Cricetulus griseus: one gene and its partner. The protein of the gene in region 1 binds, or shares a complex with, the protein of each later gene. Links are inferred from orthologs where the notes say so. Each region holds a gene or a part of one and is shown in the gene's direction. Other genes may lie near its edges.

What was found. Proteins that work in one complex are often made in the same cells at the same time.
Region 2: Polr2e (region 1) and Polr1b share a complex: the UniProt entries of both Homo sapiens proteins name them as parts of the pol I pre-initiation complex. The link is inferred for Cricetulus griseus from reciprocal best matches to the Homo sapiens genes POLR2E and POLR1B.

What each region holds. Positions count from the first base shown.
Region 1 is NC_048598.1:100,836,429-100,840,414, reverse strand, and holds the start of Polr2e (DNA-directed RNA polymerases I, II, and III subunit RPABC1), read left to right. Parts: upstream 1-1,183; 5' UTR 1,184-1,285; coding exon 1,286-1,342; intron 1,343-2,956; coding exon 2,957-3,155; intron 3,156-3,986. UniProt on the Homo sapiens protein: DNA-dependent RNA polymerase catalyzes the transcription of DNA into RNA using the four ribonucleoside triphosphates as substrates.
Region 2 is NC_048599.1:49,468,455-49,472,538, reverse strand, and holds the start of Polr1b (DNA-directed RNA polymerase I subunit RPA2), read left to right. Parts: upstream 1-1,282; coding exon 1,283-1,459; intron 1,460-2,397; coding exon 2,398-2,565; intron 2,566-2,734; exon of another isoform or gene 2,735-2,759; coding exon of another isoform or gene 2,760-2,942; intron 2,943-3,042; coding exon 3,043-3,189; intron 3,190-4,084. UniProt on the Homo sapiens protein: Catalytic core component of RNA polymerase I (Pol I), a DNA-dependent RNA polymerase which synthesizes ribosomal RNA precursors using the four ribonucleoside triphosphates as substrates.

The sequences.
Region 1 (3,986 bases):
CTTGCATGTATCCTTACACTTTGGACTGACTCCCCTCAGTGGCACCAATTATTTTCCTAATGTCCCAGGTACTCAGGCTCTGCCCATTCATTACCACCGAGAATGAGAGAGTTGTCTGAAAGTAGTGGTTCAGGACTTTAATCCCGGTACTCAGGAGACAGAGGCAGTCAGATGGTCAGATCTCTGTGAGTTAGAGATCAGTGTGGTCTACAGACAAGTTCTGGGATAGCCAGAGCTACACAGTGAAACCCTGTCTCAAAACAAAACAAAACCAACCACCGAAAGAATGAGAGGGTTGTTGTCACCTGAAAGTTAATGACAAGGGCTCCTCCCCATACCAAAAACCAAAACAAACCCCACAAAAACCCCCAGGGTCTGGTCAGGAGCTCAGAGAGAGAGATTTGCCCACCAGAGTGCTGGGACCAAATGCACCCACCATTGCTCCCAGATCTAGATATGTTTTTCCAAAAACGTATTGTGTCTCTATCCCCTTACTCTGCGTTTGTGGCTTCTATAACCAGGGTGTCCCAGGCGCAGCCCAGTTTTGCAGCCCATGCAGTGGGTTCAGTGGTCAGACAGACTTGGTGGGGGCCTCGCTAGTTTGCTGGAAACTTGCCTTTCCAAGTCAGGGTCAGCACAGGTTCCCAGGCAGGAATTAGAGATGACCTGCGGACTCTGAGGACAAGCTCGGGCGGGACAGAATGGGAGGTATGGCGAGCATCTGGTTTTCCAGTGCTGGCCATGCTGGTACACGCCTTTAATTCTAGACTGAGACAACCTGGTTTATATATCAAATTTCAGGCCGGCCAGGGCTCACAGTGAACCACCCCACCCCCCAAAGAGGAAAAAGATACATAGACATTTCTTTTTGTTGTTGTTTTGTTTTTTGAGTCAGGGTTCCTCTGTATAACAGCCCTGGCGGTCCTGTCGCTCTGCACACCCGGCTGGTCTCGAACTCTCAGAGATCCGCCTGCCTCTGGCTCCCCAGGGCGGCGTTAAAGGCGTGGCCTACGCGCCCAGTTCCCTCTCGAGAACTCTTAAGCTGTGACGGCCAAGTATCGCGACATTTTCTCGATGGTGGTCTCGCGCAGCGGATCGCCGGGGCTGCCCGCTACGCAGCCTAAGGTGGAAGTCGCGTTTCCAGGCGGAAGACAGAACAGAGCTCGCTGAGCGGGAAGGGGAGGGCTTTCCGTTGTTCCGCGCAGACGCTTTGCGTGCGCAGGAGTGGGAGGAGCTCTTTTCGGCTTCGGCGCAGGCGCAGCGGTTCCCGGGCGACGGCGGCAGCATGGACGACGAGGAGGAGACCTACCGGCTGTGGAAGATCCGCAAGACCATCATGCAGGCGAGTGACCGGCCGGCCTCCAGCCCGCACCCTGCCTCGGGAGGGCTGCTGCGCGCTCACACCGCGCTTATGGGGGCCGGAGGGAGAGACTCGGGGTTCTCTGCGCGCTCACACCGCGCTTATGGGGACCGGAGGAGGGAAACTCTGGGTTCTCTGCGCGCTCACACCGCGTTTATGGGGGCCGGAGGGAGAGACTCGGGGTTCTCTGCGTGCTCACACCGTGTTTATGGGGGGCCGGAGGGAGAGACTCTGGGTTCTCTGCGTGCTCACACCGCGCTTATGGGGGCCGGAGGAGGGAAACTCGGGGTTCTCTGCGCGCTCACACCGCGCTTATGGGGGGCTGGAGGGAGAGACTCGGGGTTCTCTGCGCGCTCACATCGCGCTTATGGGGGCCGGAGGGAGAGACTCGGGGTTCTCTGCGCGCTCACACCGCGCTTATGGGGGGCTGGAGGGAGAAACTCGGGGTTCTCTGCGCGCTCACACCGCGCTTATGGGAGCCGGAGGGAGAGACTCGGGGTTCTCTGCGTGCTCACACCGTGTTTATGGGGGGCCGGAGGGAGAGACTCTGGGTTCTCTGCCTGCGGGGCAGCCCTCCACCCACTTAGCCCAGGCCCCAGCATCCACACGGCAGCTCACAACCATCTGTAACCCTGGTTTGAGCGGGTCTGACGCACTTTTCTCGACTGTTTCACACAGAGTGAAAAACAATATTTGAAAAAAACAAAAAACAGTTTTGCCCCGGCGTAGTGACAGAGAGAAGCCTTTAACGACAGCACTGGGGAGGCACAGGCAGGTGATCTCTGTAAGTTCGAAGCTAGCCTGATCTACATTAGCGAGTTCCAGGACAGTCAGGGCTTTGTAGAGAAGCCTTGTCTTAAGAAACCAAAATAAAGAAAAGGTAAAAATACTAATCTGGTAGCACATACCTTTCATCCCATCACTCTTGGGCCCGAGGCCAGTCAGTCTCTTGAGTTCAAGACCAGCCTGGCCTATTTGAAAGTTTGAAGTCACTCAGGGCTTCATTGTGAGACCCTGTCCCAAGAAACTTAGGTTGGCTGGGAAGTGGTGGTCCACACCTTTAATCCCAGCACTCAGAGGGCTGAGGCAGGCGGATCTCTGTGAGTTCAAGACCAACCTGTTCTACAGAGGGAGTTCTAGGACATCAGGGCTACACAGAGAAACCCTGTCTCTGAACAACAAAAGACAAAAAGAAGGAGACGAAGAGGGAAGAGACAGACCAGACCCCAGTTGAGAAAGAGGCCTGCATAGTTTTAATTTTTGCGTTGGGTGGACCCCAGGGCCTGGTCTCTCAGGCCTGCCCCTCAACCCGATGCTGGATTACACTCTACTCTTCCCTCATCACGCCTAAGACCAAACAGGAAGAGTGGGTGGGGGCACTGAGAGGTGGAAGTTGCCAGGGGATCTACCCTAGCCTGCCCAGTGAGGCTGGGGTGGGGTGGGGCCTGGTTGGGGACCAGACTGTGGCTTGGCCAGTACTGCTGGGTCACTTAAGTGCTCCTCCTCATGCTATCCCCGAGCAGCCCAGGCTGTTCAGGGATAGGTCTGGCACTGTAGTCCCGGAGTTCATGCTGAGTGTTCATTTCCTCTCTAAAGACAGGTGATTCTTTGTCTCTGCAGCTGTGTCATGACCGTGGCTACCTGGTGACCCAGGATGAGCTGGACCAGACACTTGAGGAGTTCAAGGCTCAGTTTGGGGACAAACCCAGTGAAGGAAGACCCAGGCGCACAGACCTGACAGTGCTGGTGGCCCACAACGATGATCCCACAGACCAGATGTTTGTGTTCTTCCCAGGTGAGGCCCCTTGGACCAGTAACAGAGGCCTGATTCTGGGGTCCCATAATTCTGGTGGCATTCCCCAGTCCCTGGCTCAGGTGCCAGTTAAGGTAACATGTCACAGCCCTCCCTCTGTGGTCTTCCTGCTCTCTGTCCAGCCAGTGAGGGTGGGTACCACCCAGGCCCAGCCTTGCCTGCAGGACTACTGTAGTCGCCAGCCTGCTTTTGTCCCTGCCTCCCCTGGAAACCTTCCCTTGTTTGGTTGGTGTCCATTCTCTGCCCCTTGAGTCCCAGCACCAGCTCTTGGGCCCTCTGGCTCCCATCTGCTGTGTTGTGTAGTTTCTGCCTTACAGCCCAGGCACTTCTGAAAGTGGGAGGGGTGCTATTAAAGAGCCTGAGCCCTTCTTGTGCAGCTGCCTCCTGGTCTCCCCAGACAGTCTGTTGCCTTCAATACCTTTGAGGTCCTGGGGCCTGTGAGAATTAGGGGTGCAGGGATAGGCGTGGCATCATATGCCCATAACCCCAGAACCTGGCAGACACAGACGAGGCAGGTGGTCAAGAACAGCCTGGTCTATACAGTGAGTGCTAGGACAGCTATGTAGAGCAGTGGTTCTCAACCTTCCTAATGCTGTGACCCTTTATAAAAACAGTTCCTCACGTTGTGGTGACCCCCAACCCTAACATTCCTATCTGTAATTTTGCTGTTTGGAGTCATAATGTAAATACTCATGTTTTCCTATGGTCTCAAAGGGTCAGGACCAATGGGTTGAGAACACTGATGCAAGAAGTCCCTGTCTCAAAAAGAAAAAATATACTGGGAGTGTTGAGTCTGAGATCCAGCAGTTTGCA
Region 2 (4,084 bases), on another chromosome or scaffold:
TGTTTGACACTATTAGCCTCTAAGGAAATGCTAATCAAAATCTACAAATAGATGCAATTGTACAAGTGATAAGATTGATACAATCATAAAATAGTAAGGATGTTGCTAGAGGGGTGTTAAATTGTACAGCTCACTTGAATAGTTTCACAGAACTTCACAAAGTTAAGAATGGAGTAAATGACACAGAAATTCTGTTCTTAGCCCTGATACTTAAGAGAATTGAAAACATGCCCATACAAAAACTGATACCGTAGGATTTCTATCCAGAAGTGGTTTGGGGTGGCTTCTTTTGGCGTAGGGGGTTGAGTAGGATAGCCTGATTCCTGCTGGCCGTCCCAGTGATGAACTTGACTTATTAGTAGCTCGGGGCTGTGTATGGTGGCTTTCAATTCCAGCAGTCTGGAGGAGGCAGGTTGATCTCTGTTTATGCTAGACTAGCCTGGACTACAAATGGAGTTCCAGGACAACCAGGACTACAGACAACAGTGGTTCTCAAACCTTCCTAATGCTGCGACCCTTTAAGACAGTTCCTCATGTTGTGGTGACCCCCCAGACATAAAATTATTTTTGTTGCTACTTCATAACTGTAATTTTGCTACTGCTGTGAGTTGAAATGTAAATATTTTTGGAGATAAAGGTTCGTCAAAGGGATCGTGACCCACAGGTTGAAAACCGATGGCATAAGAGCCTCTGTCTCAAAAGACCAATAATTGGCTGGATTGATCGATCGATTGATAGATAGATGAGATAGATAGATAGATGATAGATAGATAGATGATAAAGAGTTGGGTAGAGAGAACAGAGGTTTAGGATCCAACAGCTGCATTTCGGTTGAAGCCAAGACGCCAGAGTCTCTTAGGGTTAGCATCAGGATGTAATCAGAAAACTGCCCAAAGCAACAGAAGAGACTCTTTGAAGATAGTTCTATCGGTTCTAATCGACTGATTGAGCAAATAAAGGCCACAGAAGTTACACACTAAAGTGCAGTGGGCTTTAGCAAGGTTTGCAGGATACATCTGGAAGAAGAGGCTAATCTGTCTCTGTGTGTAGTTTTCAACGGCCCAATAAGCAACAGTTTTGGTTCCCAGTCGGCCCTACAAAATGGAGGGACCCAGGGTGTGTGGCGGGGGGGAGGGGGGGGCCGGAACAAGAGGAACTACATTTCCCAGCAGGCCGTGGGGTCTGCGACTCCGGCCATTTCCTGCCGGCTGCAAGCGGAGTTGTGGTTCTGGTCTCCGGTCCCGGCTGCGAGTGGCGTCGCCGGTCTCGGCTTGGCAGAAGCATGGATCTCGACGGCCGGTGGCGGAGCCTGCCTAGTGGACCGAGCTTAAAGCACTTAACCGACCCGTCCTATGCGATTCCTCCGGAGCAGCAAAAGGCGGCGTTGCAAGACTTGACGCGGGCGCACGTGGACTCCTTCAACTATGCGGTGCTGGAGGGGCTGAGCCACGCGGTGCAGGTGAGCGGCGCGCCCTCGGCTCCGGAGCCCTACCGGCGGCCCGAGTGGGCCCGGAGGGTCCCAGCGGTTGAGGAGGTGGCCGGGAGGCCGCTGTACGGCTTTAAACAGTGACGTGCACTCACCGTGCAATGCTTTGGGTAGCTCAGAGAGAAAAGCGTTTCGTTGCTACTTGTAGCCGGTTCCCCAGTTAAGAGGCCTCTCAGGTTTGAGTGCTCCTCTTGGTTGTTGATTGTATAGAGAGAGAGGTAGCAGCACCAGCAGGCAGTCAATGCCAGTACTCTTGAGAACTGCCCTAAAATGTAGCGTTTACTGAGTCAGGGGCAGGAGGGAAGTGCGACTAATCCAGGTGTTTAGAAAGCCCACCTTTAGACAAGGTCAAGGAAAGAGGATGGTTCTTCCCTACAGGGGGAGGTTAGGTACAGGGAGAGCCATGTATGTAGTGGACACTACCCTGAGGTTTTGTTGCTGAACAATTGCGTTGTGAGAGATGGGGATGGAGATGCATTGGAGAGCTTTGACTGCCAGATTGAAACTTAAAAGTATGGGAGTCATTTGGAATTCTTTGAATTGCCAGGCTTCAGTCTGAGGGAATAAAATGTAAAAGCTTAGTATGAAGAATGGCGCTAAGAGCATCTGGTTTCCCTGTTCTTGCCCAAGAGCAGCAGTTCTCTCTGTCCTGCTGTATGGAGAAGGTAGACTTGGCTCAGCCTTTTCCCGTATCTGTAGAGCCTGCCCCACAATCAAATGCAAAGGCCCCTAGTGAATGGTTATGTATAGTTAAGTAGTTGGCGAAGTTACCAGTTTGTTGTAGCTTTAGTTGTCCCTTTTAGATGTGTTCCACTGACGTGATAGACATCAGTGAGTATAGACATCGAAGAGTCTTAGTGAAAAGTGCCTTGAAAAATGCAAGTGATTTAGTAGTACGAATTGTATTTCAGGCCATACCTCCCTTTGAATTTGCTTTCAAAGATGAACGAATATCTCTTACTATTGTGGATGCTGTTATCAGTCCACCCTCAGTGCCCAAAGGGACCATCTGCAAAGAGCTCAACGTTTATCCAGCCGAGTGCCGGGGCCGAAGGAGCACCTACCGTGGGAGGCTGACGGTGAGCATTAATGATGTGAGGTGGCTGTACTGCACCATTTTGAGACTCAAGCTAATGTCTTATAAGGTTATAGGAAAGGTCTGCTTTCTTAATGTTGCAACTTAAGGAATTGTATCTTTTGAACCTAACATGTAAAATCAATTCACTATGGCCCTCTTTCTTTTCTTAGAATACTCACTTGTGGGGATGGAGAGATGGCTCAATGGTTAAAGGCACTGACTATTTTTTCAGAGGACTGGGGTTTGGTTCCCAGCACCATGTGGTGGCTCACAACTGCCAGTAACTCCAGTTCCAGCAGATCTGATGCCCTCTTCTGGCCTCCACTGGCCCCAGACACACATCTGGTACATAGATATACAGGAAGGCCAAACATTCATGTACATAAAATAAAAATAAATACATCTAAACATTTAAAAAAATATATTCATTTATTCTTGCAGGTCCAGATAGTCTATTTTTTCTTTTGTTTTCATGTAGGCTGACATCAGCTGGGCAGTGAATGGAGTCCCCAAAGGGGTCATTAAACAGTTTCTTGGCTATGTTCCCATCATGGTAAAGTCTAAACTTTGCAACTTATACAACCTTCCTCCTCAAGCCCTCATTGAGCACCATGAGGAGGCAGAGGTAAGTGCAGGGATCTAGGTGGTGGGGAAACAGGAAGCTTGCCAGTGGAAATCAGTGTTTCTGACTTCTGATTTCTGGCTGTGTCGTATGGAGTGTTGATACTGTGCCTGAGTGCTGTGCATGACTCTTCCTCCCATCTATTGAGGCAGTGGAGAAAGCAGCTATACATTAAATGTTGTTTCTGGCATTGTACTAGGAGGATTTTTCCCCCTAGAAATCGTTTTCTTTTCCCTTTCCCTCCCTCCTCTTCCTCCTTCCCTTTTCCTCTTTCTACTTCCTCTTCCTGAACATGTTTGCTCATCTGAAACACAAGTGTGCCATCAGGCCACACTCCCAACCCAGATCTTCTTTTGTTACCTTTCTTTCTTTCTTTTTGGGTGTTGGGGTAGGGTGGGTCTTGCTATGTAGTCTTGGCTGGCCTGTAACTCACTGTGTGGATCAATCAGGCTGGCCTTTAACTCACAGAGATCCATCTTAATCTGCCGCCTCCCTCCCCCCACAGACACACAGTGCTGGGATTAAAGGTGTTGTACCACCAAGCCTGGCTCTTTCTCAATTTGGCCACGTGTAGAGGTCACAGGATCAGCAGGCAACATCTGAGGAGTTGGTTCTCTTCTTCCATCATGTGGCTCTCAGGGTTTGAACTCAGATCTTCAGGCTCTACAGCAAATATCTTTCCCCACTGAGTGATTTTTCTGGTCCTAATTTTTTGAATTATACATGTTCAGAGGCATACTTACTCACAAAAGTATTGTAGGAACTGTTTTTACTTACAGTAAAATTCCCTGAGCTTATTGAATGACTGACCCATGTCCCTTTTTTTCGTGGTTTCTCCAGCGGTGTGAGGCAGTTCTGGGTTACTGAGCTGAAGTAGTGGGAGTGTGCAGACTCGACC